4 linked regions of the Bombyx mori genome follow. Each later gene encodes a partner of the first gene's protein in a complex. Links are inferred from orthologs where the notes say so. Each region holds a gene or a part of one and is shown in the gene's direction. Other genes may lie near its edges. The genes, in order: mitochondrial import inner membrane translocase subunit Tim22; mitochondrial import inner membrane translocase subunit Tim9A; acylglycerol kinase, mitochondrial; Tim10.

Evidence for each region.
Region 2: the proteins of mitochondrial import inner membrane translocase subunit Tim22 (region 1) and mitochondrial import inner membrane translocase subunit Tim9A are in contact, whole or in part, in a cryo-EM structure (PDB 7CGP), measured with the Homo sapiens proteins. The link is inferred for Bombyx mori from reciprocal best matches to the Homo sapiens genes TIMM22 and TIMM9. Residues at the interface, in NP_037469.2 of Homo sapiens: Asp35, Arg37, Gln38, Pro39, Arg40, Leu42, Gly45, Ser46, Leu47, Gly49, Ile50, Ser52, Pro53, Lys60; in NP_001291414.1 of Homo sapiens: Gln13, Glu16, Phe17, Thr20, Leu57, Thr60, Gln61, Met65, Phe67, His71, Gln74, Asn75, Leu78, Lys81.
Region 3: mitochondrial import inner membrane translocase subunit Tim22 (region 1) and acylglycerol kinase, mitochondrial share a complex: the UniProt entries of both Homo sapiens proteins name them as parts of the TIM22 complex. The link is inferred for Bombyx mori from reciprocal best matches to the Homo sapiens genes TIMM22 and AGK.
Region 4: the proteins of mitochondrial import inner membrane translocase subunit Tim22 (region 1) and Tim10 are in contact, whole or in part, in a cryo-EM structure (PDB 7CGP), measured with the Homo sapiens proteins. The link is inferred for Bombyx mori from reciprocal best matches to the Homo sapiens genes TIMM22 and TIMM10. Residues at the interface, in NP_037469.2 of Homo sapiens: Tyr25, Ser26, Leu28, Leu29, Gln30, Tyr31, Leu32, Val33, Arg40, Leu42, Leu47, Gly48, Glu67, Glu144, Ser145, Tyr146, Gly148, Ser150; in NP_036588.1 of Homo sapiens: Pro3, Ala6, Gln7, Leu9, Ala10, Ala11, Leu13, Glu14, Val15, Met17, Met18, Ala19, Tyr22, Ser44, Lys45, Gly46, Glu47, Arg53, His62, Glu63, Gly66, Leu69, Thr70, Ser73, Met74.

Annotation. Positions count from the first base shown.
Region 1 is NC_085122.1:12,603,463-12,611,939, reverse strand, and holds mitochondrial import inner membrane translocase subunit Tim22, read left to right. Parts: upstream 1-3,949; 5' UTR 3,950-4,080; coding exon 4,081-4,309; intron 4,310-5,084; coding exon 5,085-5,348; intron 5,349-6,038; coding exon 6,039-6,124; 3' UTR 6,125-6,168; downstream 6,169-8,477. UniProt on the Homo sapiens protein: Essential core component of the TIM22 complex, a complex that mediates the import and insertion of multi-pass transmembrane proteins into the mitochondrial inner membrane. In the TIM22 complex, it constitutes the voltage-activated and signal-gated channel.
Region 2 is NC_085124.1:8,578,397-8,585,783, forward strand, and holds mitochondrial import inner membrane translocase subunit Tim9A, read left to right. Parts: upstream 1-3,056; 5' UTR 3,057-3,171; coding exon 3,172-3,216; intron 3,217-3,412; coding exon 3,413-3,508; intron 3,509-4,215; coding exon 4,216-4,350; 3' UTR 4,351-4,487; downstream 4,488-7,387. Other genes in the region: 26S protease regulatory subunit 6B, read right to left, coding at 452-613, 1,394-1,565, 2,054-2,146, 2,221-2,253; keratin-associated protein 10-7, read right to left, coding at 5,316-5,783, 6,473-6,612. UniProt on the Homo sapiens protein: Mitochondrial intermembrane chaperone that participates in the import and insertion of multi-pass transmembrane proteins into the mitochondrial inner membrane.
Region 3 is NC_085118.1:2,012,679-2,021,201, reverse strand, and holds acylglycerol kinase, mitochondrial, read left to right. Parts: upstream 1-3,517; 5' UTR 3,518-3,901; coding exon 3,902-4,011; intron 4,012-4,290; coding exon 4,291-4,471; intron 4,472-5,524; coding exon 5,525-5,642; intron 5,643-6,906; coding exon 6,907-7,733; 3' UTR 7,734-7,749; downstream 7,750-8,523. Other genes in the region: transcriptional protein SWT1, read right to left, coding at 782-1,602, 1,841-1,979, 2,106-2,234. UniProt on the Homo sapiens protein: Lipid kinase that can phosphorylate both monoacylglycerol and diacylglycerol to form lysophosphatidic acid (LPA) and phosphatidic acid (PA), respectively. Does not phosphorylate sphingosine. Phosphorylates ceramide.
Region 4 is NC_085130.1:5,898,137-5,906,643, reverse strand, and holds Tim10 (mitochondrial intermembrane space translocase subunit Tim10), read left to right. Parts: upstream 1-4,079; 5' UTR 4,080-4,209; intron 4,210-5,066; 5' UTR 5,067-5,229; intron 5,230-5,567; 5' UTR 5,568-5,610; coding exon 5,611-5,752; intron 5,753-6,569; coding exon 6,570-6,709; 3' UTR 6,710-6,768; downstream 6,769-8,507. Other genes in the region: uncharacterized protein LOC134201240, read left to right, coding at 392-799; GPI mannosyltransferase 1, read right to left, coding at 7,999-8,507.

The DNA of each region.
Region 1 (8,477 bases):
GTCGCTAGCTTCTTAGAGGCTGCAGAATTCAACGTCACTGCTGGACGACTCGTAATGGCGGCGGCTGGCCTGACGACTTGACACGGCACTCTTCTAAATTATTTGTCCATAAACCACTCGCAACGACGAGTGTGATCGTCAGTAAAAGTTCGTATTATAATTTAATAGAAAATTAATAAGAGTCCAAAAATATATAGGTGACAAAAGAAGCGGTGCGGTGAAAAGAAAAGGTGCGGTGCGGTCGGCGATAGTCTTCTTTTTTATTTTGACTTTTGCTTTTATGATCTTTTTTATAATTGGCCATGCGATATGTTTTATGTTTACTCTCATTAAAAAAGAACCATTATCTGTAACTGTATCCGTGGCTTTTTTTTTTTTGTTAGTTCTATGTGTTTACGTCATGTTGTTTATTCTGTAGAGTTGAAGCTAAGTAGTAGCTGTCGGCGATTGAGTACCATCATTTTACAATATACAGAGTATCAGCTGTTTCAACAAATAGGTTTATTTCCTTTCTTCGAAGGCAGACTAGCACAAGGTCTATCAGTTACCAATAAAACTAAATAAATTTGATTTTTTTTAGTGAAAACAAGTTTATTCTAAAGCTACTAAAACATCACTATTTTGTGACACCTTGTATTTATATAATTTCTCTTTTCTTCTAGATTTCCAACATTTGATTTCTTCTTTTGATAGTACATATTCTCCACTGACTGTAACTGCATGTAGTTTCTCTGTAAATACATTATTTATTTTCGTTATTGCCTAGTTAATTTGTACAAGCCAAACATGCATCCAACCTAATAAAAATATAGGCACTGCCTTTATCAGAAATGTGAAGAAAACCAACATCTGGAAGCCCTGGGAATGGGTAGTTTAATCAACGCATCATATTGACTTAGCTGATATTCATGATGAAGAAAATTTGAAATGTTTTGAGTTATTTGAAAGAATGATGATTGAAAACATAAAGCTAAGTTACTCGCAGGCATCTGTGGCGTGTAGCCATCATACAATACAAGATATATGGCAGATGCCCGAATCTCGCTTACGACATTTTTAAGATAAGCTTGCATATCGATGCCTCCAATGAACACTACGCTAACTCCAAATTTGGTAGATTTGCAGGAAGAGCGTTTAAACGAAAAAAGTTAATAAAATCTTTATTATTGCAGATATATTTATGGTTTTTTTGTGTAACTAGCTGATTTACTTTTGCTCCGAACCCCATCAATAATGATTAATTATAATACTTTTAACATAATGAAGCGATTTGCGTGAAAAACGAAAATTTCAAAATTTTGAGTTAGAGTAGTGTTCATTGGAGGCATCGATATATACAATTTCCGAATGACAACATTCGGACCGTCGATCTACGGAGCAATATCACCCGCTCGGTGAAAGATCTTTCTTTTATCGTTTAAGCCTCCTACACTAGTGACCCCAACGTGATTTGAACACGCAACCTCCCACACATCCAATCAAGTGGTTTCATCTAAACATAAGTATGTGTTCACTGTTTCTCGCTTCTATTTTTAAGATGATCTAGATTGATTGGGGTCACCATGAGAAAAACCAACTGTCACTTGTTCAATCTGCTCTTTCATGAAATGTTTAGAGATAATGCTTCTTTAAAGCAGAACTACTCCACAGCAGATTTAGATATTTCTGTAGTGATGATTGTAGAATAATTTGGATAGCATTTTCTAATAATATTGAATTAACTTCATCCTCCAAAAAAAACAGAATTTGCAAGTTTTTTTTTTTATTGCTTGTGGGTGGACGAGCTCACAGCCCACCTGGTGTTAAGTGGTTACTGGAGCCCATAGACATCATCTACGACGTAAATGCGCCACCCACCTTGAGATATAAGTTCTAAGGTCTCAATATAGTTACAGCGGCTGCCCCACCCTTCAAACCGAAACTCATTACTGCTTCACGGCAGAAATAGGTGGGGTGGTGGTACCTACCCGTGCGGACTCACAAGAAGTCCTACCACCAGTAAACTTTCCTAACTCACCTATGTCATCTGAGTCAGGACCAACTTTACTATACTTTAACAGTTTCGCTTCACAATTATGTTTCTCAGTGGATATGTCCTTAATGTCATCACAAGATAAAAATCCATTTGAATTCTTGAACAATTTTACACCTCCCTTTATTTTGCGTTTTCTGTAATAAATATACACAAATTTGGTGAATCTTCAAAAAAGTTCCATCACAATTAATAAACTTTTGTATATAGTTAAAATTGTTTTAACTGTGTAACCTGTGATTTATAAGATAATAAAGTCAAATAAAAAAATATAAAAAAATAATGCTTCAATGAGTGAACAATCTCGCAGCCCTGTTGTCATAACTGATACAGATCATTTTTTCATACTTAAGAGCAGAGTATGTGCTTCACAACCAAAGTAAACAACATGGTAGTTGCCAACTCATGTGGGCCTAAAATACATTCAACTACCAGTCATTACCAGAATTTATATCTTTCCAGGTTTAATATTTATTATACAATGCTATTGCTTTATTGTGGAAGTCATTAATAAACATGAACTATGAATCTGCAGGATTTCAACACCAGCATAGTGACATAGCTTAGTATTGTGTACACCAGGTGTGTTATATGTAGACCATAATGACTTCAATTTGATATAATGTATACAATTTTGTGGAGCAATTGCTCCAGTTCCAGCTACTGGTTTGCTGATTTTAGGAGTATACAGTAAAATACAAATAATCTAACAAAAGTTTGCCAGTAGTAAATAATATTTCAACTCGTAAAGACCAATTTTAATAATACCAACATTACACTTTTGTGTATCATTTATGTTTGTAATCTGAGTTACTGGTCTCTAAGAAAGTATACCCTCGATAAAAATATTCTTAAAATGTCCAGATGATAAATGATAAAAGTTCACATTAATGCGTAGTTCCAGTATCATAAGCACTATCATCTTTTGCGGTGAAAATAAACATTTACTTTGGTTGAACAGGGTCCACATCTACAAATCTTGTATTTTTCTGTATGACAGCTGATAATTTAGCACCAATTCTTTTTTGCATTTCTTCTGGAACCTTCACATCATTGTAGTGGCTTGATATTTCTAAGTAACGTTGGGAGACGGGCTTTTCTTCAATGCCTTGAATAAAAAAAAAGGTTTGTAAGTGTAACTATACATATTATTTATTTAATTAAAAATGAATGTTTCTCTCGAATACTTAATTTGCATTTCATTAAAAGATGGAAATATATAATAATAGCATTATAATAATAAACATAATAAGCAAATAATTTATTTTACTATTCTTTCATATTTAATCATTGCTATTTACTTTATGCAGATGCCATAGTTTCTAACCTACTAGGTAAAAAGAGTAGAAGGATAATTATCGGTGTATACACATGTTTACGCATTAAATGTTTAACGGAGGGCTCGTATGTATACTACTTTAAATAATATAAGTACCTTGAATTGTTTTAGATCCTGTAACACGAGTTTGGGATAGAGATTTAACGAAAGAGTTGTCGACGACGTCTTTGAAACGCGATAGGTCTTCATCTTCAGATGAATCTGACATAGCTAACCACTGATTATAATAAAAAATGTATAATATGATAAGGAATAACTAACCACAACATTGCTGAAATAAAATATTTTTGTTTTGTTTTTTATAAATTATTTTTAATAGCCTGGATTCTGGTCTTTTAGCCAAATCTTCATTACTTTCTTAACAGACCTTGTCCTCAAAAAGCAGATTAGAGCGAAACGGAATGAAGTTGGTTTATTTGAAATTATATAAGTAGTTCCATCAAAATTATGGAGGTTTACTGGTATTTGAAGCACATTTTTGAAGAACAAGAGCCAGGTCCAGCTATTTTGTACCGTACTTTTCCGTCAAAGCGAAACTGCCTATTGAATTAATCATTTACGTCAAGTGTCAGATACCAGCTGTTTTTAGGTTACTTTTAAAAGTTTTAAGCTCTATTAGGTACCTAGGTCCCTACTTAAATACTAGTGAATAAACTTTAGTTACCTGCATTTAATATTTAAACCTTAATGTCAACACATAGCGATAAGTATGGGTGAATACCGGAGACCACCTCCAGACCAAAATTTAGTGAACTTTACCCAAAATAGTGATTATGATTCGCTTGCAAAATATTTGATAGGCAACAACTACAGATTTCGTGAAAATATCATTATACCAAGAATTCTTGGACCTGTTATAATTAAAACCAATGAGGAGAAGATGATCGAGGCAACGGTTGAGAGCTGTCCCTTTAAATCATTGACTAGTTGTATAATTGGTAAGTTAAGTGCTTACAGTAATATTGTATCTTCGGCTAATTTTTATTTTTTATTGCTTAGATATGTGGAAGAACTCACAGCCCATCTAGTGTTAAGTGGTTACTGGGGGCTAACGCCACCCACCTTGAGATATAAGTTCTAAGATCTCATTTGAGTTACAACGGCTGCTGTATACCCTTCAAACCGAAACGCATTACTGCTTCACGGCAAAAATAGGCAGGGCGGTGGTACCTACCCGCGTGGACTCACAAGAGGTCCTATCACTAGTAATTATGCAAATTATAATTTTGCAGGTTTGATTTTTGTTACACATTGTTATTCCTTCACTGTGGCTCAACACCAATACACCGAACGTCTTATCCTTTAGGCCACGAGATCTTCGAAATACAAACACCAATGCAGTGAAGCATTGATCGGGATTTAAGAGTTCAAACTTTCCCCCACATTATTCTGCACCAGCCCTACCTAATTGCATAGATTGCATAAAACGCCCACATTGATATCCACATGGTTTCTTTAGTCTGCCTTTGGGTATCTTCAGAACTATGCCTAAATGATGCTCATCTGTGCTCACAAACACTACACTATTTTGTTTTTACTGTTAAAACTAACCAAATAAAAAAGGTGTACTTTTCATATTCTATAATTGGTATTGTGTGAAAAGATTAACATTTTGCCAAAAATGCTTACTTTTTTTTTTAACTTAACAATGAAAGTTTTACTGTTACCTATAACTAATAGCTAACAGGGTACAAAAACATTTTTTTATTACAGGATATGGTCTCGGAGCAGCAGTGGGTCTATTCACATCTTCCCTGATGCCTAACGTAACAGATACTACTGCCCAACAAAATCAAACGGCTAGAGAGATTTTACGGGAAATGAAAAACTCCATGTTGAGTTATGGAAAAAACTTTGCGATACTTGGTGCTGTGTTTTCTGGGGTCGAGTGTTGTATCGAAACAGCAAGGGGGAAGTCCGACTGGAAGAACGGTACTTATGCTGGAGGAATTACAGGAGGATTAATTGGATTAAGAGGTATGGTGCATTTTAATCATTTTTAAAGTAATGTATTGTCTAGTCTATTTCTCTTCTTTGGATTGTAGTTGTTTGCTACCAAATATTTATCAATCGGAGTTCTATAGAAAATTCTTAGTAGTAGAGATTGATTTCTCCTTTTACCATTATTGTTGAGCTTGGCTTGGTTTCCATTTAATGTTATGCACTCTAAATAAATAATATAATAAAATAGTATCAAATATCTGTTGTCATGTATTGTGTCAACCATAATATAACTAATATAGTATAGTATAGTAATATAGTAATAGTACTCACTCACTTCTCAAAATTAAATATTTTTAGATATTGATTCTCAAGACGTAAACCATTACCTCAAGATTAGAATTCACATACATATATTTTAGTTATCAACATTTTGAAAAAAAAAAAGGTATCTACCTATTCAAAAATATTTTATTGAAGTCTGCCTTAAGTAAAGACTGTAAAAACAAAACATAAATATCAAAAAATTGGAGGAGAAAATGTTAAAGTATGTTATTGTTACCACATCCATGGGCTATGATTTCCGTTTTATATTTAGCTATATAATTCTATGTATATATTTAGTGAAATATAATTTTTTTTTATCAACAACTAAACTTCTCCAAATTAAACATTCTGAAAAATTGCAAATTAAGCACTAAAATCTTGGAAAAATTCTTATTACAGGTGGATTAAAAGCTGGCATGTTTGGAGCGATGGGATTTGCAGCCTTTTCCACGATCATTGACTACTATATGCATCAACGGGCTTAAATAATAATTTAGTTTATTTTATCAATAAAATGTTAGTAATGTTATTTTTTTTATATATTTCTACTACGCAAGATAACTTATTTATTGTCCATAAATATGACAAAACTGTTTTTTTAACCTTATTTGAAAAATGACTTACGTATTATGCATGCATAATGATTTCAGAAATTCAGGACACCGAATAGTCAGTCAAGCTAATCAGAGATAAGGGGTACAGTCTGTGGTGAACATTAACTTACAACCTTCCCATTACTTCATCTGTGGTTGCAGTATTTTCTCTTCACTTTCACAAATCTACTAGAACGTTGACTACTGCCCCGAGCAAACAGGATCTCATTGAAGACTGCGATAGACTTATCATAGTGATGATGAGAATTCCACCCTATTCACCGTAGGCACTCAAACAGCATGGAAGTTGTGATGTCGCAAAATTTTGGTAACCATATATTGAATGGGTGGGGGTACTAGAACTATGGACCGTGTGGACCATCCACTGCTAGGTGCTTAGGCTGTCTCCCAGACTGGCGGTACTGATTTAAAATACAATACGCCTATCTACCATTCTCTTTGTCGTGGAAGTTTATGATTCCTAAGAAAATTTGGTATTTGACAATGTGATTTTAACGCTTTTTTTTTTATTGTTTAGATGAGTGGACGAGCTTACATCTACAACGTAAATGCGCCACCCACCTCGAGATATAAGTTCTAAGGTCTCAGTATAGTTGAGCTGGGCTGCCCCACCCTTCAAACCGAAACGCATTACTCCTTCACGGCAGAAATAGGCGGGGTGGTGATACCTACCCGTGCGGACTCACAAGAGGTCCTACCACCAGTAAATAGCATAGCACAGCTTGTTCGTGTACAATGATCATTTTCTCTCACGCCAACTAGTTCAACATACTGGCGTGACACGATAACCTTATCGTGGCCGCTAATTACATATTCGACCCAGTCGACAGGGCAACGTAAAGCCCTCCTTTTTTTTATTACCCTTGTAAGCAGACGAGCATACGGCCCATCTGATGGTGAGTAGTTACCGTCGCCCATGGACTTCAGCAATGAGAGGGGCAGAGCCAAGCTGCTGTCTACCGCTTAATACTCTCCACAACCCTCGTTGCCCGAAACATGTTTAAGCGAATCCCCCCGATGCACTCTCGGTGCTTTTAGGCTCTTCAAACACTGGTCACCATCCTCGTCAAACTCAATTACGAGTTCCACGAGGACGACCGATGCGAGAGAGAGATCTGTCACGATTCCGATCCGGTGGTAGGCTCTGCAAGACGCTGCTCTTGGTATGGATAGTGTTTGAAAATTCTCTCAGGTTGAGCCGGTAACCTCACCTACCCATCCGCGCCTAGCTGAAATAATCTCAAGCTACCAGCGAATAGGTAGGGGGAAAGGAAAGGAAGGAAAAGAGGATTACTGATATAAACTTCCGTAGAAATATAGAAAAAATATGTGTCCAGTTAACTGGTGAACTGTGTAAAAGGACACAGTGTGTAATGGAATAGTTCTTAAAAATGTACATAGCAAATAGGTAGTGTTAGCTCCTTAAAAATATGAAGCAGCGCCAGAACGCTATTTCGCGCCAGCGACGTGTTACGATAGTCGATAACCTTCTCATCATGGCCGCAGCTTACACAACAGCTAGGCGCTATTGAATCCATAGACAGTTTCATATGGGTCTGCTTGATTGTATTTTTGAACGATTCTACTTCTAATGCAAGCAGCAGCTATAGTGCAATGTGCTTAATGAGAGTTTTTTAACGTTCTCGATAGCGTAAAAGTTATATCAAATTTGTAGGTATGCTGTTGGAACAGCGCCCCTAGCGGCAAACGCTCTAACTTCATCGAAAACGTTAAAAACTCGCACTAAGCACACAGGCCACTGTACTCGTGCCAATTGAAGAGTTGAACGTGATATAGCTTAAAAGCCCGCTGAGTTCCTCGCCGGATCATTTCAGCGAGTCGCGTTTCCGATCTTGTTGTAGATGCACTCGCGAAGGAACTGGCCTTGAACTGAAAGTGTCGTTTAGAGGCACTCGAGAAATTGTTAGCAAACTCAACCCAAAATAGTGTTTGTTCAGGTGTCCTAATGAAGCTTGATAGGTCGCCGGACCGCCAGTCTGTCTTAAAAAAACTGTTTGTCTAACGCTGCAACATTTTTAATTGCGGACCATTGTTTGCAATGTAACACAATTCAAAAAGGTAAGGCAGTTTGAACGGTCGAGAGGAGTTGCGGGAGCTTATTTTAAGCTGTACAAACAATACTTTTCAAAAATTTGACTAAATCCATCGTAAACCTGTTATATGTTCATACTGTTTGTTTTTGAAGCGACCGAATGAGCGATCC
Region 2 (7,387 bases), on another chromosome or scaffold:
ATGTCTCTGGGCTCTTTATGTGTGAGATGTCCATGGGCTCCAGTAACCACTTAACACTAGGTGGGCTGTGAGCTCGTCAAACCACCTATGCAATAAATAAATAAAAGACCGAAAACACACACCGTTCAACTAGCGTCTTGATCAACACTTGATTGATTGATGCATTATTACTGTGCACTAAACACGCTGATAAATAAAAATGAAAATATTCAATTTATTAGAATTACATTTAATTAAATACTAGAGTTGACACTGTATTGAATAATAAAACATATTATAGATGAGATGAGATTCTATGAAAATTCTATCACTTGAACCATCATGGATATGTCACTTCTCATGGATAGTTTCAAATATAGTTAGAATATTGTCAACTAATTAAAAGCACCTGAATGGTTGCACCAACAAGTATAGATTCAGGATAACTTCCTACAGTAGAAATAATACATACCAGCTTGCAACATAGAGATTGAGCTGTCGGCTTCAGGAGGCAAGACGTCAACTAGAGCATTAGAATGCTTATGCAGAGCAACTGAAGCAGATGGCTTCAACAATTCTCTATCAATTGTTGAGAGAATACGGACATAATAATTTGAGCCAGTGGTGCTGCCAACTGAAATAACAAAATAAAATATGTTTTATTCTGGAAGTGGGTGTAAGCGATGCAAACAGCAAATGAGTCGTCTATTATCAAAGGTGGCAATCTGTACATTTGGACAAAAAAAATTTATTGATATGTCAATACAGATTTATTTAAATATAATCGTCTCCTTCAAAGAATACGGTTCAAAACCTGCATTAAATAAAGGTTAATAGTTAACCTGTTATTTATCTAAGATGTCGTTCCGAAGAGTTTTGTGACTGCCAATGGAATACAAAGTCAATAATTCGTTTTTCTGATTTACCAATCATTGTCCAAAAGTCAGATTGCCGCCTTTGATAATAGTCGACTCAAATATAACAAGTATTGGAAATGCCAACAAAGTAATATCAAGATCAAAAAAATATTTTTAATTGCACAGAATTTTGCCACAAAAAAATGTCATTGGATATTCCTGAAGTGTGTACTTATGACTTTATTTGTAGAGAAGTTTTCAACATTTGTTTGACATTTTTCATCACTTTAAATAATGAGCACTGAAAAGTCCAGTCCTCGCCAGCATTAAAAATAATAATGTAAATAAAAAGTAATATTAGGAAGATAGAATAAATTGATTGTAAAATGTAATTTAGTATTTTTTCAGTTTTAGAGTTCTAGACATAATTATAACTACTTCCATAGTTTCATTTCGCATTTTTTAAAGTCAATTTATTAAGTTTCGTATACTTTTCAATATTCATGGTGATACACAGACAATGGTAATTTATATTATTAAATAAATGAACCATTTACCTATGCCTGTATTTTGATCAACTGCCTCAAGAAACTGTCCAATGACAAGAGGAACAGACTGTATGCGCTTTACTTCTTCCTGTGCATGCAAATATTCTTTCTTCAAGTTTCGTTGTTCATCTTTAATGTACTCTTCTTGTACTTCTAAGAACTCTAACATTCTTTGGAGTTTCTGTTAAATTTACATAAAAGTTAATATTTATTGTCTCTTTGTGTATTGCACAATACACTAAAGATAATATGTATTGTGTATTGCAGATTGAAAGTTGTGATTTAGTGTTTTTTATCTACCTATAGCCTCAAGGAACTATTCTGGCTTCACCTGATGTGTAAAGAGCTCACAGCTCAGCCTAAGAGAATTTCCTAACAAGAGCAGTGCTTCTCTGGATCTACCACTGGATCACAATCGTGACCCACTAGTGAGAAACTCAGTAGGTAACTACTACTAGTGGCTAAAGAAAACCATGCAGTTTTTTTCCTTAATGGGCTAATGGGCTCATGGCTATCTTGATGTTACTAGCACAAGATTTATTCTGGTTTGAACGGCAGGGCAGCCACTGTAGTATGGAACTGATGTCTCAAGGTGGGTGGCATCTCATACATTTACTTATTGGTGAAAATGAATAGTTTTAGTGGAGTTTATAAACTTGTTTCACTTACCTTGTACTTTGTGTATAAATCTTCAGATTCGAGTTCATCAAAAGATTGAGGACCAGCAAACGCCAAGCCTTTTGAGTCTGTGACTTGGTCATCCTAAAAAGTTCAATATTATGTGTAAAGGTTGTGTTACAGTTATTCGATTAGTAAGCCTTTTTTTGAATACTTACTTTCTCGGGTAAAATAATTCCAATCTCTTCCATTGTTTCTATAGCTAAGAGATTTCGTGTACTATCTGATTATTATTTGATTATCTGAAATGTGTTTTACACAGAGACAAAGTGTAGTAGACGATCAAACCTGAACATTCGTACCTAGTTATTATTTGGTTATTTTAATTCTTTCTGTCTAAAACTGCAATTCAATGATTTTTGACATTTCGTAGCGCAAACTTTTTAAGATGTGTAGTTTGTTCTTAGTTGATAGGCAAAGGAAATGTAGTCATATCACTCTAATAGCTTTTTTTAAATGAAATGGTTAAATAATTATTTCGTGTTTCATTAGAATGAAGTGAACCCTTTCAAAAGAAAAGTAAAATTAAATAGAATGAAATAAACCAAAATTGGAAATGACTCTGAAACAAAAAAAATCAATAAAATGACATAGGTACCTCAGTTAATTACAAACTGCAATGGAAGCTCTGGAAAATACATAAGAAGTTATGTGAGGCCATTTTTTTCTAAATATTGACATTGTGCATATTGACAAAAATTAAATGAGTCAAGCATACGAATGCATGCAATCTTCCAAGATCAACTTTCAATTTTTATAATGTTGGAAACGCGAAACGTATAACATGGGTCGGCGCGGCGGTCCAGATGCAGACCGCGCTCTGCCCACAGATTGGTATAATAGTTACTACGTGTCTGTTTAAGGTCAAGTCATAGTCAAGTCAAATAGTGAATTCATAATCTTAATATTTGGCTTTTTTAGTCTGTACATTCGCTATACCTTTGCCTGTCAAATGGTACAACAAAATAAAAAAGGCTTCTAATCTAACCTAAAATTGAAACATTACAATAATTCATAAAAATATTAAATAAATATTTAGATTTAATATAAATATTGTAAAAATACTAAACAATCACACTGTTCTAAACTTTTCTTGAAGATATACAGAAATGGCGACCCCTGAAATGATGAGTGAAGTTGATCAAATTAAAACTGTAAATATTTAGTATTTTCACGAAATAATTTGTTAAATAATGTTATTTCTGAATTATTCCACTTATTTAAAAATATAATTTAATTTCTTAAATTCTTTAACATTTCTCCAATAATTATCATCTATATGCCGGTACATTTTGTTTAGTGTTTTCAAATTTCAGTAGAAAATTTAATTTTTTTCAAATTTCATTTCAGTTCAAGGATTTCCTTGTACAATACAACAAGCTGTCTGAACTTTGTTTCAATGATTGCATTCATGATTTTACGTCGAGGACTTTAAAATCTACCGAGGTAAGGAATAGCTCGATTAGTTAACTATATTTTCGTCTGTTACTTTGCCCCCGTGTAACGCTCTTTTATGTGTGTTCCACGGTGGCATGAAATGTAGCTTAATTCTTAGAGGAATATAAGCTTATTACTTTCCCTGATATAATACTATTTTCCCTGAATTTTCAAAATTAGTTCAGCAATTTAAGTGTCAAAATTGAATACAGCAGTTACTTTCTTGTTAATTATATCATTTGAAATATAACTTTCAATCACTGTTAAAAATACCATTTGCAGCATATGATTTTAATGTAAGAAACCTTATGTTCTGTTCAAAATCTGTAATCTGCCCATCTGTCTGTGAAAAACTACATGTAAATGTATACAGTAGATCTGGAGCACTGAATATGGACAGCCAAATAGAGACTGGCAGAAAATAATTACAGGAACTGCTGGCTTCTATAATTCTTTATTTCATTTTTTTCTTTAATGTACAGAGTCACCAGATTCAGTGTTATCTCATGAATATTAATGAGTTTTTTCTTTATTCTCATTTTGTGGCATTTGTTGACAAATAGTTCAAGTAATTATTATTTTTGGCTTTTATTACATTTGACAGGTGAGCATTGTATCCCTGTGATTATTAAAGCAGGATAGCAGTTAGTGGGAATGTTAAATGAAAATGGGTGTTTCATTACATAGATCACTGATTGAAATGTGTTATCTTTTAGGACAAATGCACTGTCAACTGTATGGAGAAATATCTACGAATGAATCAGAGGGTTTCACAAAGATTCCATGAGTTCCAAATGCTTGCCAATGAAAACATGTTAGCATTAGCACAAAAATCTGGTAACCCTAGTTAAAAAGTATGGTATATTTGTGACTTATCTAGTCATTTTCTTTAAGGTGTAGTAAGAGAAAGCACACCCTATATAATGATATACTTGTGCAAATGTACAGTGTATGTCTAAATTGTTGTCAATAAAGTTCTGTTAGACAGATTCTTTGTTTTTCATTGCTTATCATTATTTTCAAATTCACTAATAGTGAATTACTGTCACACTTGGTTGTGTTATGTAAGATTATCATGAAAAAGTTCAATTCGTGTTTTTGATGAATTTATTCTAATTTTTGATAGTAATTGATATGGAAATTCATTAATTTGCTAAATTGTAACTTTCATAGACTAATCATAATTATTAATTTCGAAATTCAAAATGGAAGCATGACATATTTATTTTTTGGTTCCAAAGCTGCCACTGCCTGCACCGTGGCATTGCTTCACGGATCTGATATATCATTACCTGTCTATTTTATCATCATACTACTCGTTGCTAGATTAGAAATCACTAGCTTTATAAGGAGCTGTTTTACATACAATACATTTTATTTTCTTTTTACCATGAAATCTTTTGAGTTAATCCATTTATAGACAGAGATGATCACTTTGTGAGGTCAGTGTGCTTAGCGAATCAATCAATAGCGAAAAAGTTAACTCATATTTGTAGGCAGTTCGAACAGCGCCCCTAGCGGCAAACGTAGGCAAACGTTTTCAACTACATACAAATTTGAGTTACCTAACTTTTATGCTATGGAGAACGTTAAAAAACTCGCACTAAGCACACAACAGTGTGCTTGTACGCCTCACTGTGAATAAAAAAGTGAAAGGTACTTAGGACACAAAACAAGGTAAACAAAAAGGAAAATTGTTAGGTGGCCAAAAAAAGGGAAACTAGTTCTCAACCAGTTTGGGTGGATTTTTTTATAAGAGAAAAATGTATGTTTGTACTGATCAATGTATTAAAACACATACAACTTGTTTCAATCTTTATTTCGGACATGGCTTAAAGCATCTTTGTTCGGGGGGTGAAAAGTCTAAAACGAAGGAAGACTGGGAGCTAGTGTAATCAAAATGGTAATCATTGAATTTAGCCTCTACGCTATACTTTGCGTTCGCTGTTGGTCCTTCATCGGGATCTGTGTTCAGGACGTACTTTAGTGGGTATGGACCAGACGGAGCGTTGTTGACATTGGACGGTTTTGTACATATTGTATATTGTCCTTCGTGCCTTATTATTCTAAGGATAGGCTGTGTAGCCGCAGGCTGTTTGCAGCATGATGGTGAGGATGGACATAGAGCTAGGCATTTCGGAGGCATGCAGCATGGCTTTGAACACAAGGGGCGTGAACAGCTAGAAGGGCAAGGAGTGCAACTGCCCATTCTCATAGAATTATGTTGTTCAATCTTCCGGAGTACAGAACAAGATACATGTCCCGGGCGCCAACCGCATCGTAACTGCAAAAGTAAAGGCTATTAGTAAAATAAATACTCGTACAGTAATTTATTTATTTAATTTATTTATTTCATTTACTTCAGATTTTGCATCTATATTACATTCATTAATATTTCATATAGTATACCAGTATACGCAATAAAACAAAAGCAATAATAATAAAACAAAAAAACCAAATTAACGTCAAAACTACCTTAATCCAAACTCTAAAGGCTGGTTTGGATCCAGAGTGCTCAACATGCACACTTGTCCAGTGTTGCATTATTGGGTAGTCCAGATCCATCCGCGAGGCGAAAGCCGCAGGTACCTGCTGCGACTGACCCGCATGCGGCGAATTAGGGAAGCAATTCGTTTACAATTCATTGTTGCGAAGCTATTAATTCGCGCATCCGCAAACATCCCCGATTTAGTGGTAGTTATACGGCTTTGAACCATTGGCCTGGTTATTGGTGTCACCAGACTATTATGCTTTGGGCTTCGCAGAATAGCCGTAATTTCAACGAAATTCAGACTTCGACCCGTCCATGGTAGACATGGCGTGGCGGCTTTCGCATTGTGTTGTTTATGTACTCTGCATGTTTATGTATTATGTGCGCTATATTTATTTTCCCGATTTGAATGAAGTTAAAAAAGTTCTAATTTCTATTTAGAATGTTAACTAAAAAGAAGTTATTGTAAAAACAATGGTAACCTGATGTTCAGGTGAATTTTTGGCCGTATACAACCAACCCATGTGTTTGGGCACAGGTCCAGGTTTTACTTCGCGTCTCTCTAAACATCTGTGCTTTGGTAGATCACACCGTCCTAAACAGCTTGTTGATGATTTATTCGCTGTAATAATATACAACATTTAAAGAAAAAAATACACATTAAAGTGTGCATGTAATGTCAGTATTGTTACATAATATTGTTTTTTTTTTTTATTGCTTAGATGTGTGGACGAGCTCACAGCCCACCTGATGTTAAGTGGTTACTGGAACCCATAGACATCTACAACGTAAATGCGCCACCCACCTCGAGATATAAGTTCTAAGGTCTCAGTATAGTTACAACGGCTACCCCACCCTTCGAACCGAAACGCATTACTGCTTCACGGCGGAAATAGGCGGGGTGGTGGTACCTACCCGTGTGGACTCCCAAGAGGTCCTACCACCAGTAATTACGCAAATTATAATTTTGCGGGTTTCATTTTTATTACACGATGTTATTCCTTCACCGTGGAAGTCAATCATAATAAAATCAAACATTTTTATATTTATAATTTGAGTGCATTGCAATTTTGCGTTGACAAAATTTAATATTCTAATGATCTATTCTAATTAAACTATCACACCACACACTGCCAGTGGCTGTTGCTGAACTATATTGAGATCTGATGTCTAAGTCTCCTCACTCTCAAACCGAATTACCTACATGATTGTTTCAATTCAGAAATAGGCAGGATTTGTGGTACCTTCGTCTGTCTCGCCTAACCTATACAGGATGACAAAATATCTCACCAGCAGATCTTAAGATAGGAATTAGGGTGTTGGTCGGATATTAGAAATATGGACTGAAGCAGTAGTTACAGCCCGTAGATGCCGACCTTCGAATCTTATGTTTTTAT
Region 3 (8,523 bases), on another chromosome or scaffold:
ACATCTACAACGTAAATGCGCCACCCACCTTGAGATATAAGTTTTATGATCTCAGTACAGTTACAACAGCTGCCCTTCAAACCGAAACGCATCACTGCTTCACGGCAGAAATAGGCACCCTGGTACCTACCCACACGGTCTCACAAGAGGTCCTACCACCAGTTATGATGCAGTTATGGTGCAGCAAAAATGTTAGAAACAAAAGATCAAAATTTAAAATTAGTTGTAAATTCACTATTCCATCTTTCAAACCAAAACACACATTTCCTTTTTGCTTGCAGTAGAAATACAGAAAATTTAGTTACCTACCCAGGTGAGTTTTGATTAAGTGCTACCACCATTATACTAGGTTTAGCAGTTTCAAAATGCCCACATTCAATTATAGTATTTTTGAATACTGTATTCAAATCATTTTTGAATACAGTTAAAATTAAAGCTTAAAAGTAACATAGAATTGTCTGAAATTGTTATGAAACTAGTCAAACTAAACTATAAGTTTTACATGCTAAATTGTAAAATGATTAATAGTTTAATCAGATTAAAGATTTATAGTCATGGTGAACATCTATTTTTTCTAGCTCAATTTGAAGTCTAAAATTTTATATAATATGTATATAGCATATTCTAGCAAACAAAAAGCTCCAATTTCATATACTATGTATCTTTTAAAGAAAATGGTTTTGAGATAAATCATCAACAACAAAAGTGAAGAAACATATTCATTACAATTCATGTAAGAATACATTAGAATACTAAATTGTATAAATTTAAATATACAAACCTCTTTTATCTCACTCTTCAAATCAACGTCCATAGCTTCATTACAGGCAAAATCTTCCTTACTTTCCGGAATGTTGATGCTATATTCTGCATTAGTTGCATCATTGCTCAACCTTGTACGTAGAGCATCTAAGCGATCTTGTGCCGATGAATATGTAATCAAGTCACAATCAACACCAGAACTTTTATATGTCAACTTAGATTTTATAGCTGAAACCAGTTTGCTGGCTTCTGAAAATTGTGGTGGAGTAGCTGGATGTTTCATATATGGATACTCTGTAACTTGATTATATATTCCTTGTTCAATATCAGCAAACATATCCTTTTGCTTCACTTTATCACAATATTCTTCAGGTAACTGAGCTTTCATGGATGAAATAATCTTATTTGCTGCAAAAAACTGTGATGGTGATGGTATTGATGGTAGGCTCTCACTGCTGGGAGACTGTGTTGAACTCTTTACATCACTAGAACTAGGACTTTTCTCCGTTCTACTGTTACGTGAAGTTTCAGTGTCTGTGGACATTTTGCGTTTTTTTACTGTAGAATCTTTATTTTCCTCTTTTTGTGCTTCTGAAGAAAGTTGGGCCCTTAATTGTGTGAGTCTTGTGTTAGCTAAATTCTTAGCTGGGGTGCGTCTGTCAGGGCTGTCTGTTCTAGAGACTGACTCTCTTTGGCTGCTGCTGTGTCTGTATGATTCTTGTGCTCTCCCCGGGATATCTTTTTGAGTTTGCTCTTGACTTGTGCTCTGTCTCTTTGTTTCTACATTTTTAAGAGATATTTCATTAAGACTGGGCCAACACTTCCCTGGAGAAGATTTAGCTAAAAAGATTTTAACTGTCAAAAAGGTGATTATGTGAAGGAGTACAATGTTAGGGTAGGTTCAATAAAACAACAATTTCTGGTTACCAACAAAACCATTAGCTTTGCAAACTCATCCTTACTTTTCTACGTTTAGGTTGAAACCTATTTTGATTACGTAAATTATATAGAACGAAAAACATTGTTTGAGAAGTATTTTTTATATTTAATACATAATAAAGACTAGACTGAAAAGTACCTTCTTTCTGCTTTCGAATTGGGGAGTTTTGTTCAGAGCCATCATTTTTACGCTTTAAACTCTTCTTTTCCTCTTCTTTACTTTTCATATCCCTTTGATTATCTTTTTCTTTTTTACTTTTATCTTTACTCTCGTCCAACTACGAATGGTAGGTAAAGCAATATTAAACGTAAACATATTTGTAAAAACGTTTCCTGTAATGAATTTTACTGAGGCGTTGACCGTAGTAACAGCGATGAAATCTGTAAATATAGAGAAAAAATACCTGTGGTTGCGTCCAGGAAGACTTTCCCGTTCTTTTATTGAAATAGTACTTCCTTCCAGGACTTGATTTGGAAGTGCAAAGTACCCAGCCATCAGGAAGTTGAGATGTTTCATTGCAACTCGAACTCATGGCAGATACTTTGTTAAATTTGTTATTATTTTGAATATTCCTGATTAACACATCACGAATAATGTTTAATGTATTTCTTGACAAATCAATTTGTATTGCGTAGTGCTGCACTTCGATTATTTAATGGTTTCGTCATAGTTTGAGTTAAAATCGATTTTATGTGCACATTCTTCTAATTTCTGACAACGGAAAACTCATCATTTAATTTTCATGCAAGTAAATAATATTTATAGCGATAAAAAAAATGGATAAAGTGATATTTTACATCCCCATTGATCGATTGTGCATGTGAAATCATTGGAACACATTAAATTGAATTGTGAGGAATTGATTACTCTGGTAACAATTTAATGACATGATTTTGGAATTTTTTAGCGGGAACACCAAAAAATTACTGAAGGATTTACTATTATATTCTCAATTTAATGTTTCTTCTTAAATTTAGATATGTAATAAAAAAAATACTAGACCAATATCAACCGTTTAGTATCTACATAGGTCACATCTACACAAATTGCGGGAAAATGAAGCTGCACTTGACTTCTCAGGTTCTTTTTATGATTCATCAAAATTTTATAATTTTACTCGGTGATTATTTTATTTTATCCCATCTTGCACCTACGTTGTTGACCTATGTCACCGGATTCATATTGTTTCATTTTATTCCTCTCAATTTCATTTCCATGCTATTTCACTTTTTATACAACAAAAATTTCGCTTTGGCAGAGCGACCAGGATTTGACTGTATGAGCTACTTTTCCTTTACCTGTCATTGACTTTTTTTTTAGGAATTTTAATGGCATAAACTTTTTTTTTTTAAGAGATTTTATGACCTGGTAACTAAGACCTTTAAGTCATGTCTTATTTTACTTTATATTCTTAATTTTATGAAAAATGATAATATGGAGTGGAATGAAATGAAGATGATTAATGAGACATTAAGCAACTGGGATGAAATTTAATGAAATGAAATGATATGGGATGAAATATAATCGCAGTAAAATGGTGGTCATTTACTGAGATTTTTTCAGTGGTCTTTTTGAAGGAACCCGAGAAGTTACGTCCAGCAGCTTTGTTTCATTTTCCCACATTTGTGCACTTTCACAGATATTAAACAGTTAATAAACCACCATTATTACACATTTAAACCTGAAGAGACACTAAATAGACAAAATAAAACAAATCACACAACTTCACTCCTCGCGTTCCCGCCAAAAAGTCCTAATGGCATAAAAAGACTTTCGAGTCATAGATTATGAAAAAAATAAATAGTGAAATAGCATTTAATCAATTGGGATGAAATAAAAGGAAACAAGATGAAATAGAATAAATTTTACGAGACTTTTTAGTTTTTGAGTTGACTTTTTCAGCACAGCAGCTTTGTTCATTTTACCACATTTGTGTGCTTTCACAGATGGGATGGTAATTACATTGAAGCCTGAAGAACAGCAAAATTAACAAAATAAAACAATTCACCAACTTCGTTCCTATGTGAATAGACGAAATAAACAAAACAAAACAATAAATTTTAAACAGCTCAACAAGGACATGGCCAGAAGCCGATTGCCATTCTGAAAAAAAAAGTAGAATTATACAGCTGATCTGTAAGTTCTATAACCTTAAATGTTTATGTTTATAGTTTGATTTATTCGATTTAATGCAAAAAAATGGAAAGAATAGCGAAGTTTGCCAAAACAATACGAAACAATTGGAAGAAATCAGTCCTTGGTGCAGTCGCTATATACTACGCTAGTGCGACTGCAAAAGAAAAATATGAGTGCGTAAAATTTCAAATTAAAAACTAAATTTTGTAACTGAGTTACTAATTCACAAAAAAAGTTTTCATCTCTTCACCATGGCAGTCATACGAACCAAACTGATGTTATGCAGCTACCGTACCTACTCACTACAAGCATTTCCAGAACCACAGCTTATGTGCTATCTACTACTAAAGATTTGACCAACACTTTAACTGTCCAGCCAAGTTAATCGCCCCTTTATCACCTGTGCGCCTACCACTTAAGTTTAAAAAATCTAGTTTATGTATTGTCAACAGAATTAATATACTTATGCGAGCAGCATGTAAAGAGGCTGCAATTTACGGCGAAGCTCTCCTGCCCATCGAAAGAAACCCCACAGTCATAACAGTTATTCTCAACCCTGTAGCCAACAAGAGGAAAGCAAAACAAGAATTTGAGAAATATTGTGAACCATTGCTATTATTAGGTGGTTTACAGGTATAATCTTCTATCTTCTATATCTATTCTATATATATATATATATAAATGAATTGCTGTTCGTTAGTCTCGCTAAAATAGAGAACGACTGGACCGATTTGGCTAATTTTGGTCTTAAATTATTTGTGGAAATCCAGAGAAGGTTTAAAAGGTAGATAAATATGAAAATACTCAAAATTGAATAAAAATAGCACTTTTTTCCTTTGATATGTCCCCCCTGTTGGATGGATTCCATTTGTTTGTTCTAAGTTTATTTTATACAAAAGCTTAGGTATTTTATTTATCGATTGAGGCACTAAAAAGTGCTAGGTCAACTAGTTTTCAATAAATTGTTTATACATTTGATCTGTCATTAGACAAATGTCTTGCAATGGGGTTTGAATTATGTTGTATACATAGTTCAAACATGCATTAATGAAAATTTAACAGAATTAATTTATATTGAGGGGTAAAAGGCTATTTCATTAGCTTTATTTACAAAGATAAATGTCACATATTAAGCAATATGTCTCTTAATCTAAATGATATGATCCAGACCTGATATGATCCAGTTACAGGCATATTAAATTAGTGCTGGTCTACTGTATAAAGAATTTGCATTTTATGTTACATATATTTGATAAAAATCTGAAATAAAATGTAAAGATTTCGCTTCTTTAATCTAGATCAATATTTTCATCTAATTCAAATCAATATATTTACAGCCCATAGCTTTAATTGCTCTATGGATGGATGAGCTCACGGACCACCTGGTGTTAAGTGGCTAACGAAGCCTATACACATCTACAATGTAAATCTAGCTACCTACCTTGAGATATGCGTTCTAAAGTCTTCATTTTTACAGTACAATGACTGCCCCACCCTTCAAACCAAATTGCATTACTGCTTCTCAGCAAAAAATAGGCAGGGTGGTGGTACCTACCCACACAGAGACTTACAAGATGTCTTACCACAAGTAGAAATAGTTTGATGGATTCAATTCATGAATACCATTCTCCTTGACACATGACCCATGTGCTTAGCACAACTATACAACAATCACAAACTTTTCAGGTAGATGTTGTGCAAACAGCTTCAGAAGGAAATGCAAAAGAAATTGTAGAAACATTAAGGGGTACTGAAGCTATTATTGTTGCAGGAGGAGATGGTACTTTGTCTGAGACTGTAACTGGTAAGAATGTGTTTGCATTACACATGAAAGTTCAAGCTGAATATTTTTATTTCTTATTTCCTACAAATGCTACATACGGAGCTATTATATATGTACATTATTCTTTTTCTTTTTTTTATTGCTTAGATGGGTGGATGAGCTCACAGCCCACCTGATTTAAAGTGGTTGCTGGAGCCCATAGACATCTACAACGTAAATGCGCCAACCACCTTGAGATATGAGTTCAAAGGTCTCAGTATAGTTACAACGGCTGCCCCACCCTTCAAACCGAAACGCATTACTGCATCACGGCAGCACAAGAGGTTCTACCACCAGTAATTAGGCAAATTAGAATTTTTGCGGGTTTGATTTTTATTACATGTTATTCCTTCACTGTGGAAGTCAATCATGAACATTTGTGAAGTACGTATTTCAATAGAAAAATTGGTACCCGCCTGCGGGATTCGAACACCCGTGCATCGTTAGATACGAATGCACCGGACGTCTTATCCTTTGGGCTACGACGACTTATATTCATTATACATTGCCTTGGAATACTCTGTAAATGGAGGCCACAGTGGGGACTGTTATGATTTAAATTTTGAGTGAATAATAATAATTAGATAATTTTTCTGAATAAATTGTATCCTAAAAACATATATATATTTGAGGCCTATAAAATCAAAGGCAGCTAAACGCCATAATGTCGTAAAATGTATTAACAATGGCTCTATCTTGTTTAGTTAGTTGAACATGCTTTAGTGTTTTCATGTTATAACAAATGCAGCTAAATCTCTAACAAATTCAGTTCAAAAAAGTTATGTTTACTCTGTATTAAGTACTAATAAACGAAGTTTTATCATTTAAAATTCTGATTATTAGTAATATTCTCATTCTTTATAAATCTGTTTTAAAATAAATAAAATAAAATAATAATAAAATAATAAATAAAATAATAATAAAAGAATATCGTGTATCCCCAGAAAAGAGCGGAAGTCCGGCGATTTCCTCATGACCAAAAAAAAAAAAAAACTATCGAACAAAGTTATTTCAGATTCTCAAACCGGGAGTGTTGCTAACACTGGCCCTAGCAAGAGCAGTACTTCGATGGATCGGGAGGATCCGTAATGACGTGTTTAGGGCCGATTTTTGTAGTTTACCTGAATATTTGACAGACATGGATATAGCTGCCTTTGATTTTATAGGCCTCATTTATAATATCTTAAATACTACATATACATATCATACGTACATTTATATATGGTACATATATCATCTGTTTCAGGATTGTTAAGACGAAATGATCAAGCAAACATGTTTCCAGTAGGAGTGTTGCCACTCGGACGCACAAACTCAATCGGTAACACTTTATTTCCAAACGGTAAGGGTGTACAAAAAGTTAAGCAGTTGATCACCGCCTCAATGGCAATCATCAAAGGAAACACAGTATGGAAAGATGCCATGAAAATAGAACAAGTTACTGATGAGTCTGAAACTCCTAATCGTCCGATTTACGCTATGGCATCAATGGAGTGGGGAGCTTTTAGGGACACCCTAGCAAAGAAGGATAAGTACTGGTTCTATGGTCCTTTAAGAGAGTATGCTGCCTACATCTTCAATGGTTACAAGAGTTCATTAAACTGGAATTGCAGCGGCACCATCAAATATACTCCTCCGTGTGTCGGGTGCACCAACTGTACAGCTAAAAGGCCGGAAGTAAAACGAAAATGGTTCTTTGTTTCGTCCACCGAAGCGGCTGGGCAGCTTGACCAAACGAAGATTCTAAATCCAGAGTGCCTGACATCGAAAGAACTGTGCTTTCGAACTTGCGATTTCAAAATTAAAACGCAGAATGTTGCAATGAACCATCAGATACCAGCCTTGAGTATATTTCTGGGCAGAAACAGTTACTCATACACCGACTTTGTGTCTGAAGGTTGGCGCAGAATAAAGACAAACTCGGATCCAGAGCCAATTTTTGCACGTACCATCGAGATCACACCTAAAGAAACGGATAGAGATACAGTTATAGAAATCGACAAGGAGGATTTTGATATGAAACCAATTAAAATAACGTTAATGCCAAAAGTTATTAAATTATTCTGTCAATAAATAATTGTTAAATGTTCATGATGCTTTTTAATGTAACACAGTCATTTTATGAAAGCTTCAATATTAGCCGGTTGCAGTATATGGAGCACCGAAATACTACTATATAAACGTCAACGGTAAATTACTATAGGCACTATTGTAACGCAGCGTTCCGTTTCGCGGGGCAACAGTAGCCAAAGGGATTGTGACTCAGGTCCGTGCCGCGACGACCCACCCCGCCCCGCCCCAACGTTGGGCGCCAGTTTAATGTTAGGTGCCCGACTGGCATGAGACTCTCGGGTTGTCAGTTCCGGTATCGACCGGGGACGCGTGTATTCCGCTTCAAAGTCTGGCGCGCACCAACTGGGGGTGCGAATGATGCAATAGATGCGCGGGCGCGGGTAGCGCGGGGTGGGTCGTCGCGGCACGGACCTGAGTCACAATCCCTTTGGCTACTATTGCCCCGCGAAACGGAACGCTGCGTTACACTATAGATTTTAAATTATTTTTATCTCGCAAAAATCTTGCAAAAATTATCTCAATTAACAGTCGAACATGTAAGATTATAGAGTCTAGCGCTAATGTTGAAAATTCAAAATCAATCGACAAACAATTTTGGACAAATCTAATTTTAATTGAAATTGGGAACTCCTTTCAAGCATTAACTTCGCAACCACCATAATGTTTGTATCTTTTTTTTTTTATAGTCCTGACAATAGGACGGGATTCCATCCCCGGGAAGATCCCGTAGGACGTCGTCTCGGGAGACACACCGTGAGCAGCGCACAGGAGCCACCTGGCGCTGACTCTC
Region 4 (8,507 bases), on another chromosome or scaffold:
AAATCTTACCTCAATACGCAGACAAACGCTCGGGAAACACCATAGACAGCGCTTATTGTCATTTGCTATGAACGAGAAATTTCAATTTGGTTTTTAAATTATCGTTTGTTTACTTTGGATCAGTACTTAAGCAGGTTTCATTTGATTTTTAACACCTATGAAAGTGATATTATTCTAAATTGTTTTATTCTTTCATTCATTCGCTATTCAGCCACTCTTGTGCACCCTTAGACATGTGCCTCTCCCAATTTATATTAATAAGCCCAGTCTTCAGCTCTCCTGATCCATTGCTGGTCACTCTGCACAAGTCATCAAGTAACGGACGCTGGCCTAACGACTTCATTTTAAAATGAGAATCCAATATATTACAAAATGAACTTTGATTTTCTAGGGCATCCATACAATAAAGACCGTGGATAGGATTTACAGTCTCACAGAATTGGATGTCGTTTCTAACATGGACTTGTGTTCGAATATTATGACGTATTTTGATAAGATCAAAGGGTTCAAAGTGCCCTGTTACCATTCCTGCGATCTACCAGAATTCATAGAGAAAAATAAAAGGTGTGAAAACTATCATGGCGTCGAAGGGGGCGCCGTATTTGACAAGAAGAAGAATCAATTAATCGGTGTTGCCACATGGGGAGCGTATTATCCTAAATACGAATTACCGGTCGGATACTCTGTGGCGAATTCGGATAACTTCTACGCGGACTACATGTGCGCTAAAAGGATTAAAATGGATAATGATATGTTGGTCACGAACGGACATTACCAGCACATTTGTGATTTTTTCTGAATCATTAAAATGCATAAAATACAATAAATGCTCTTTATTTTTTTGCTTCAATTTAAATTTTAGACTTAACCTATTTTTCGCTATTCACTTAAACACAGAAGTGGCTAACTTAAAAAAAAAAACAAAATGAAAATCAACTATCATTGACATCGAAATTAAATTTAAATTGAGAACTTGAAAAAGAGAACTTAAATTTTTTTGTACTGTCTTTGTTTGCTTCTTCAGTATTGTGATCCTTAGAGTTTCCCTGTATGTTGTCATCGGCTATAACAGACTCTGTGTTACCAATTTTGTTATTTTCTTCTGTAACGGTAGAAATATTTCCATTTTCTATTTGATCTGAAGTCAAATCGAAATTAAAACGGAACGACTCATCTCCTGTAGTTTGAAATACAGATTTCCTAAAAAATGTTGCCTTTGGTTTTTCCTGTACTTCTGATATTTTGATTTTACTTGTCACTGAAAACAATTAAATTTAAATTAAGTATACCTTAATACTGTTGTGAATGTGTGGTTTGATGCCAAATTGGGCAACCACTATCTTCCATGGTTCATATCCGGGCATATATCAAAGTGATTCTCAGTACATCTAGAATAGAACAAATATGCATAATGTAAGTTTAAGTGAAGTAAATAAAAATATCACTAAGCAAATGCAGTATTTCTGTAAATGTTAGTGCTTATAGTCAGGTGGTGGTCAGTCTGCAATGGTGATCACCTCTTGTTAGGTATTCATATTTATGTAATTATTTTTAAGAAAATAATTATTGACCAGTTGTGGTTGAGGTCCTCAAACATTTTATTATAATTTATATATGGATATGGCGAGATTAATATGCAGTTACTAACAAAACAGAAAACTGTAGACAGCTAAAGCAAATAGTCGAAAACCTATTAATAAGCTATCAGTCAATAAGCATTGGCAATAGAAAAATCAATTAATAGGCTAGCGGTCTGTAGTGTTAAGTAGTTCCATTTAGTAGACTTCCAATTTCATATATTATAGCTTCATGAAGATTTGAAAATTAAATACTTTAATTTTAAAACACATTCATATATAGTGATGTGTGTTTCATGCGATAAAAACAAATTTATAAAGCAATTAGATAATAAAGGTAAATAAATGGGGACCACTTTCCACTTATTACCATACAAAGGTGTGCGTGCGACTCATTAAAAGTAAAATATCCTTATTCAAATACTCAATCACAAATATTGAACAGGCATTTTACTATACACATTTAAATCAGAATTAAAAGTATAGTAATATTTCATACTGTTATATTTAATGAACCAGGTGAACACTATGAGTACCTACTTAGCCCCAATATGACCTCATATCAATGCCACAAAATTTGAAAACACAAAGTTTATGTTGGAATTATATACAACACATTTGTACCGTATACTTAAAATTACTGCCACACAAGCGAATTATATTTAATTACCTATAGATATCGGTGATCCATATAAAAATTGATGCACCGATGCTAATAAGATTATAATTGAAAATATCAAGTTAAATGTAGCTTTAGTGTGAAAACATACTTTTAGACAATTTTTTCTCCTCTGAAGCCATTTTAGCTCGATAATCACCGAAATGTGTCCTCATTAATTGTCTCTTCCTTATAATCGGCTGATTATTGTTTTTCAGTACAGTTAAGACTTTCCATGTTTCTTGCACTGAAATCAAAGTCAAATGGATATTGCAAATTTAGTAGGAGGGTAGGTACCGTGCAAATCGAGAATTTTAAATTAAGAACTTTTTTATGAAGGCACGTATTTTGATATTTTGATGTAGCGTATTTTTTAAAACTCGAACATCGCTAAATTGGATAATTTTTTTTTTAATTTGTCTTATTTTAAAACTCACATTGTTTTTCGTTTCCTTTCTTTTCATTTAAAGTTCGCTCTAACTGTTGGATACACCAACATAACTCGAGCTGAAACTGTCGTAACGATTCCTCGGGGTCTACACCTTCGGACTCATGTTTATCAATTTTACAAGGTTTCTGTAAAGATGTCGATTTGCCTTTATTGTGCAATCTTGTTGGTTTAGGCATTTTATTTATGATATTTTATATCGCCACGTTTTGAAACTTTGTTAATTCCAGAGAAGTTTTGATGAAGTGTAATCTGTGTATTATTATAATAACGGATGTATGTAACGTTCTCTTTGTAGTAACGAAACCAAGTCAACAGAGGACACTAACTTGGAAAAAACTGAAAACAAATTTATAGCATAGATAATTAAGTAGCATTTAGATCGGGTGCACATTGTCATTCCTGCCGGCACCAGTTTATTGTCTATGGTTGATACAGACTGTCCCGGTGACTATTTTATTTATTTATTATTGTACAATATATGCAATGCGATAGATTTTTATTTTAGACTAGCTGACCCGGCAGACCTCGTAGTGCTTCAATCGTTAAATAAAAGACCTAAACTTTTGTATAAAATAAACTTAAAACAAACAGCAGGAGTCCGTCCGACGGGGGACACATCAAAGGAAAAACAAATTGTTATTTTTATTTAATTCCAAGCATTTTCATATTTATCTACCTTTCAAACCTTCTCTGGACTTCCACAAATAACTCAAGACCAAAATTAGCCAAATCAGTCAAGCCGTTCTCGAGTTTTAGCGAGACTAACGAACAGCAATTCATTTATATATATATAAGATACGATAAGATAAGATAAGATAGATAGAAGATAGATTAAAGGTATTAAAAACTAAACTTCGCATTATGCCAATAGTTTGATGAATCGTTCGAATTAATTCTCTTCTGTACGTGTTATCAAATAAACCGGCCCAACCGATACGAATGAGTATTTCCGTCCGGGCTTAACATAGACAAATATTTTGAAGAAAAAAAATGTTTGCCAGGGAAGACCGCTGATGATTCTAATAATTCCTCAAATTTCTCATTAATATTAAGTTTAAACGAATCTTGTGTCTAATTTATATTTATGTACTCTATTATGGCAGATTAATCTCTACATTGGAAATCTGTAAGCTTAGCTCAAAAAATTTTATACCAAAAAGTTCACAAAGTTTAATTTATAATTAATAATTTTATTATTTAATTAATTTAATAGTTAATTTATGTATAATATAATTAATATAGCAGATTTTTCATAAAAACCCGTTCCTATGTAATGTTCCTCCTTTTAGTCGATACGCGCCTGCAATATTTCTTTACAATCATACGATCACATAGCGACATCCGGCTGTGACATAACGTTTTAAAAATTGGTACTAAAACGTAACCTTAAAGTTGTAAAAGCAATTCCAAAATTTCATAGTATGCCGCTTGGAAAATTTGGAAAAATTACTCTTTCGTGGTAAATAACTAAATAAGATATACCCAAGTTTATCACCAGCTTACTTTTGATTTACCTTTCGTTGGTGAGCGCAGAATTAAATTCGATTTTACTCATTTCATCATTCGTCTATTTAGCCAAGTTCTATTTTGTGTAAATATAATTCTACAAGATAAGTCAATTACCTATCACAGCGTATTATTATGCTCGCCTTTTATTACTTATTAATAAGAAAACATGAAAATTAAGTTATATACTCCACAACCTTGACTCTCATGTGTCTTCAGCCACAAGAAATCCATCAAAAATAACGTCATAACTTTGGAATAAACGTTAAAAGCGAAGATCTTCGAGCAAGCGGGTTTCATTTCTAGGGTAGACCCACGATCTTTTGTAAATATGCATACTTATCTTGGAAATGTTGTTAATGCGATTCAGTTATTTTGGAAATTACTTATAGTCTATGTTACCTTATACTACTACGCAAATACAAGACGAATCTGTATTCTAAATGAATTTGAACTCACGTTTATGCATTTAGATTAAAACTAGTGGATTTTATATGCATATTTTGTGGATTCTAACTTAATTAAAACTTGATAAGTCTAGTTTCTGAGATAAGTAGCTGTTATCGGCTGTTTCGCCTGTGGCGTTATAGAAATGTGTCAATTTAGTTTCCTGTGGGTATGAGATGTTTTTTTGGAATAAAAATCTCCTGACCTAAAACTATGTCAAAAAAATCATGTTAATTTATTGCTTCATTTTAAAGTGAATTAAAGACAGACAAGCACACTTTTTAATTTATACCATTAGTATCAACGTGTATGATGTAGTATGATTTTATTAATTAAGCTTAGTTATTTTATGTTACACGTTTCACAAATGTTCCAGACCCATTAGCAGAGAGAGGATGTTTTAACCCAGGATCGGTGTTAATTTCAGGTTAGCAATAACAACAGCAAGTTTATCATTATTCGTGGTGGCGAAGAACTACATTAATACTCAGCGTGTTGAGAATATGAAAGCAAGAGAACGCATGCGAAGATCTAATCAAGGAGAATACCCTGACTTGTATCGGAAATTGTGAACTTGAATTCATTATAATGTGAGTATCTCTCTAGTAACTCTAGAAAATACTGGTGAGTAACACTAAATTAACTGGTGATAGGACCTCATGTGAGTCCTCATGGTTAGGTACCACCACCCTGCATATTTCTACCGGGAGCAGTAATGAGTTTCGGTTTGAAGATTGGGGCAGTCGTCCTAACTATAGTGAGAGCTTTGAACCCATATCTCAAGGTGGGTGGCGGCATTTACGTTGTAAATGTCTGGACTCCAGATACAACTTAACACCAAGTGGGCTGTGATCTCGTCCGACTAACTAAGAAAAAAATTTGTATACAGTGTATGAATGTAACTAAAAAATATTTTAATCTACTGTAGTTTCCAGATATACCATTGAACATTACTTAGTTAAAACGTAAAGATGGCAGTACCGCAGCTAGACCCTGCAAAGCTGCAATTGGTGCAGGAACTGGAGATTGAGATGATGTCCGACATGTACAACCGCTTGGTGAGCGCATGTCACCGGAAGTGCATACCAATTAAATATCATGAACCTGAATTAGGTAAGCCAGGCAAAAAAAAATATGGCGAACATTATAATTATAGGGACCTTCAAAATTGTATTCATTGTGACACACAAATGGTTTATTAAACTGTGGTCGTCGTGGCCTAAAGGATAAGACGTCCGGTGAATTCGTATGTAGCGATGCATCGGTGTTAGAATCCCACCAGTAGTTACCAATTTTTCAATCAAATACATACTTAACAAATGTTCGCGATTGACTTCCATGATGAACGAATAATATCAAATAAAAAGTGTAATAGAAATCAAACCCGCAAAATTATAATTTGCATAATTACTGGTGGTAGGACGTCTTGTGAGCCCACTCAGATAGGTACCATCACCCCACCTATTTCTGCCGTGAAGCAGTAATGCGTTTCGGTTTGAAGGGCGGGGCAGCTGTACTGTTAAAAGTGACACCTTACAACTCATGTCTCAAGGTGTGTGGCGGCATTTACGTTCTAGATGTCTATGGGCTCCGGTAACCACTTAACACCCGGTGGGCCGTCTATCTAAGCAATAAAAAAGAAAAGAAAGATAATTATGACCTTCAATGTCCATTTGTTTCTTTTTAAGCCATCACACTTATGAAGTTTATGACCTATAGTTTATAATTATTATTATAAGCTAAGCTTTAGGGTTATACACTGTTACAGGACATCTACAAATACAAAAATATATAGATGATATAAAGATAGGTGATATTTAGAAAACTGATGTAGCATATGCTTTTAAAATAGATACAAGTATTTAAGAGATTTAATTGCCTCGCTTATATAGGATGAGTTAATTTTGAACATGATCTTCTCTTCTTACAGGAAAAGGCGAATCTGTATGTTTAGATCGCTGTGTAGCCAAATACTTGGACGTACATGAACGCATAGGTAAGAAACTTTCCAATATGTCACAAGGAGAAACCGAAGATCTCACAAAGGTCAACATACCAGACAAAAAATAGTACGAAGCTACTACTCACGACAAATCAATCAGTTGCTAGATTTTTCACAGTGACCAGTACAAGACATCTGCAGATTTGAGATATTTTGTTGTGAAAAATTTGCAGTAATATATAGGTGAAGTAGTCTTTCTATATATAATATTAATTCTGCCATTATGTCAGTACTTCACTATGAGAAAACAATCTACTATCACTAGTAATCTCGAGAGATTATGCTACCTTGGTCATCTACCCTAACAAGGGCAGTGCTTCACTTGTGACGTTTGGGAAATAATGTTACTCAATTTTGTCTGTGTAGTTCAAAATTCAAATTTTTATAACCGGTTCTGTAACTGAAACATTGGCTGAAACGCAATTGGTGCAATTATTTTGCCTACTTCTATGAAAACTATTTTTCTAAAACTAGTTTATTTTCATAATTAGTTCAAAGCTCTGTCCAGTGTTGTTACTTCATACGGCTATTCAAAAAAGTTATGTTTATTTATCTCTACACTACCCTCTATGGTACTCTCACAGCTCGACAATATTTTAAAGATACTGTAATACACTGTACTGTAATGCATAAAAAGTAGGATTATGTAAATTTTAAGACAGAAACTAGCGGTTACCGAATGAAACGACCATAGAGTTTAATGAACAAACAAATTTTATTAGCATTCTTTTTTAATCATAATTTAATACTGTTCATGTTTTTCAAGATCAATCAGCCATAAACTGTAAATTTTTTTTTTTAAATTTTTTTATGATTGAAAGATTACTGGTGGCCCGGAGTCCTTTCCAGTTTCACCAGGACACGTGGGACATGTTTTTTTATAAATATGCTGGAATGTCTTACGTGAACACGAAACTTAATTAAATTTATGCTTTTAAATTTCATCGTGATAAAAGCTGAATTGATTTGTCGTAAGTCAAAGCTTACAAAAGTAACGTTTACAAACAATGCGGAGACCGCGTTTCAGAATTCTGAATGTTATGCTAATTAAGGAATTCTCTTATTGAAATGCATTTTTTTTGTTAATTAGCGTGGACTATATGTTTAGGTTGAATTGTTAGATAGTTATTAAAAAATAAAACAAATGAATAAATGCAACAAACGTGTTTTATTTAAAACAAAAAAAAAACAAACCTATCTACAAGACAAAACAAACTATGAATCTACTAAAACGGTATGTACTTACACTAAGTTTTTTAAAATTCGAAAGGCTATCAATTTGATAGAATTAAGCTTTTAACAAAATTAGTGTAGGTCATGATTCTCAAAACAATAAACGAAAAAAAAAAAAAACAATTCATTTCTCTTTTATTCCTTTGCCAGATTCGTTTATCCCGAATGCGTAGCCGGGGCGGTAGTACTTTATAAGCTGCGTCAGTATAAAAACATTACTGCCATAGAACATAACGCTCTGACACCAGATCAACATGAAAACCTGCCTGCATTTGAACTCTAATTGGTACGCGAAAAACAACCAAGCACATTGAGTCGCTATCCAGAGGAAAACCAAGTAAACAATTTTACCTGGTTCCATTTTGAAGTCTTTTAATACCAATGGTAATAACGAGAGGAACCAAATAAAGTACTGTGATGTCATGACGCTGTTATAAGCGACCAGCACGACGGCTTGCGCGAACATTGCGAACGGTAATGTTTTTGGGTCACAACCGTAATTCAGACTCAGCAGGAAAAGTAGAACGCACTTGGAAACCTGTGCCAATATTTTGACAATATCAAATGACATCTGATCTTTCGTTAAATACGTATAGTAGAATAGTATAGAGAAATTGTGCCTAGTGTCTTTCC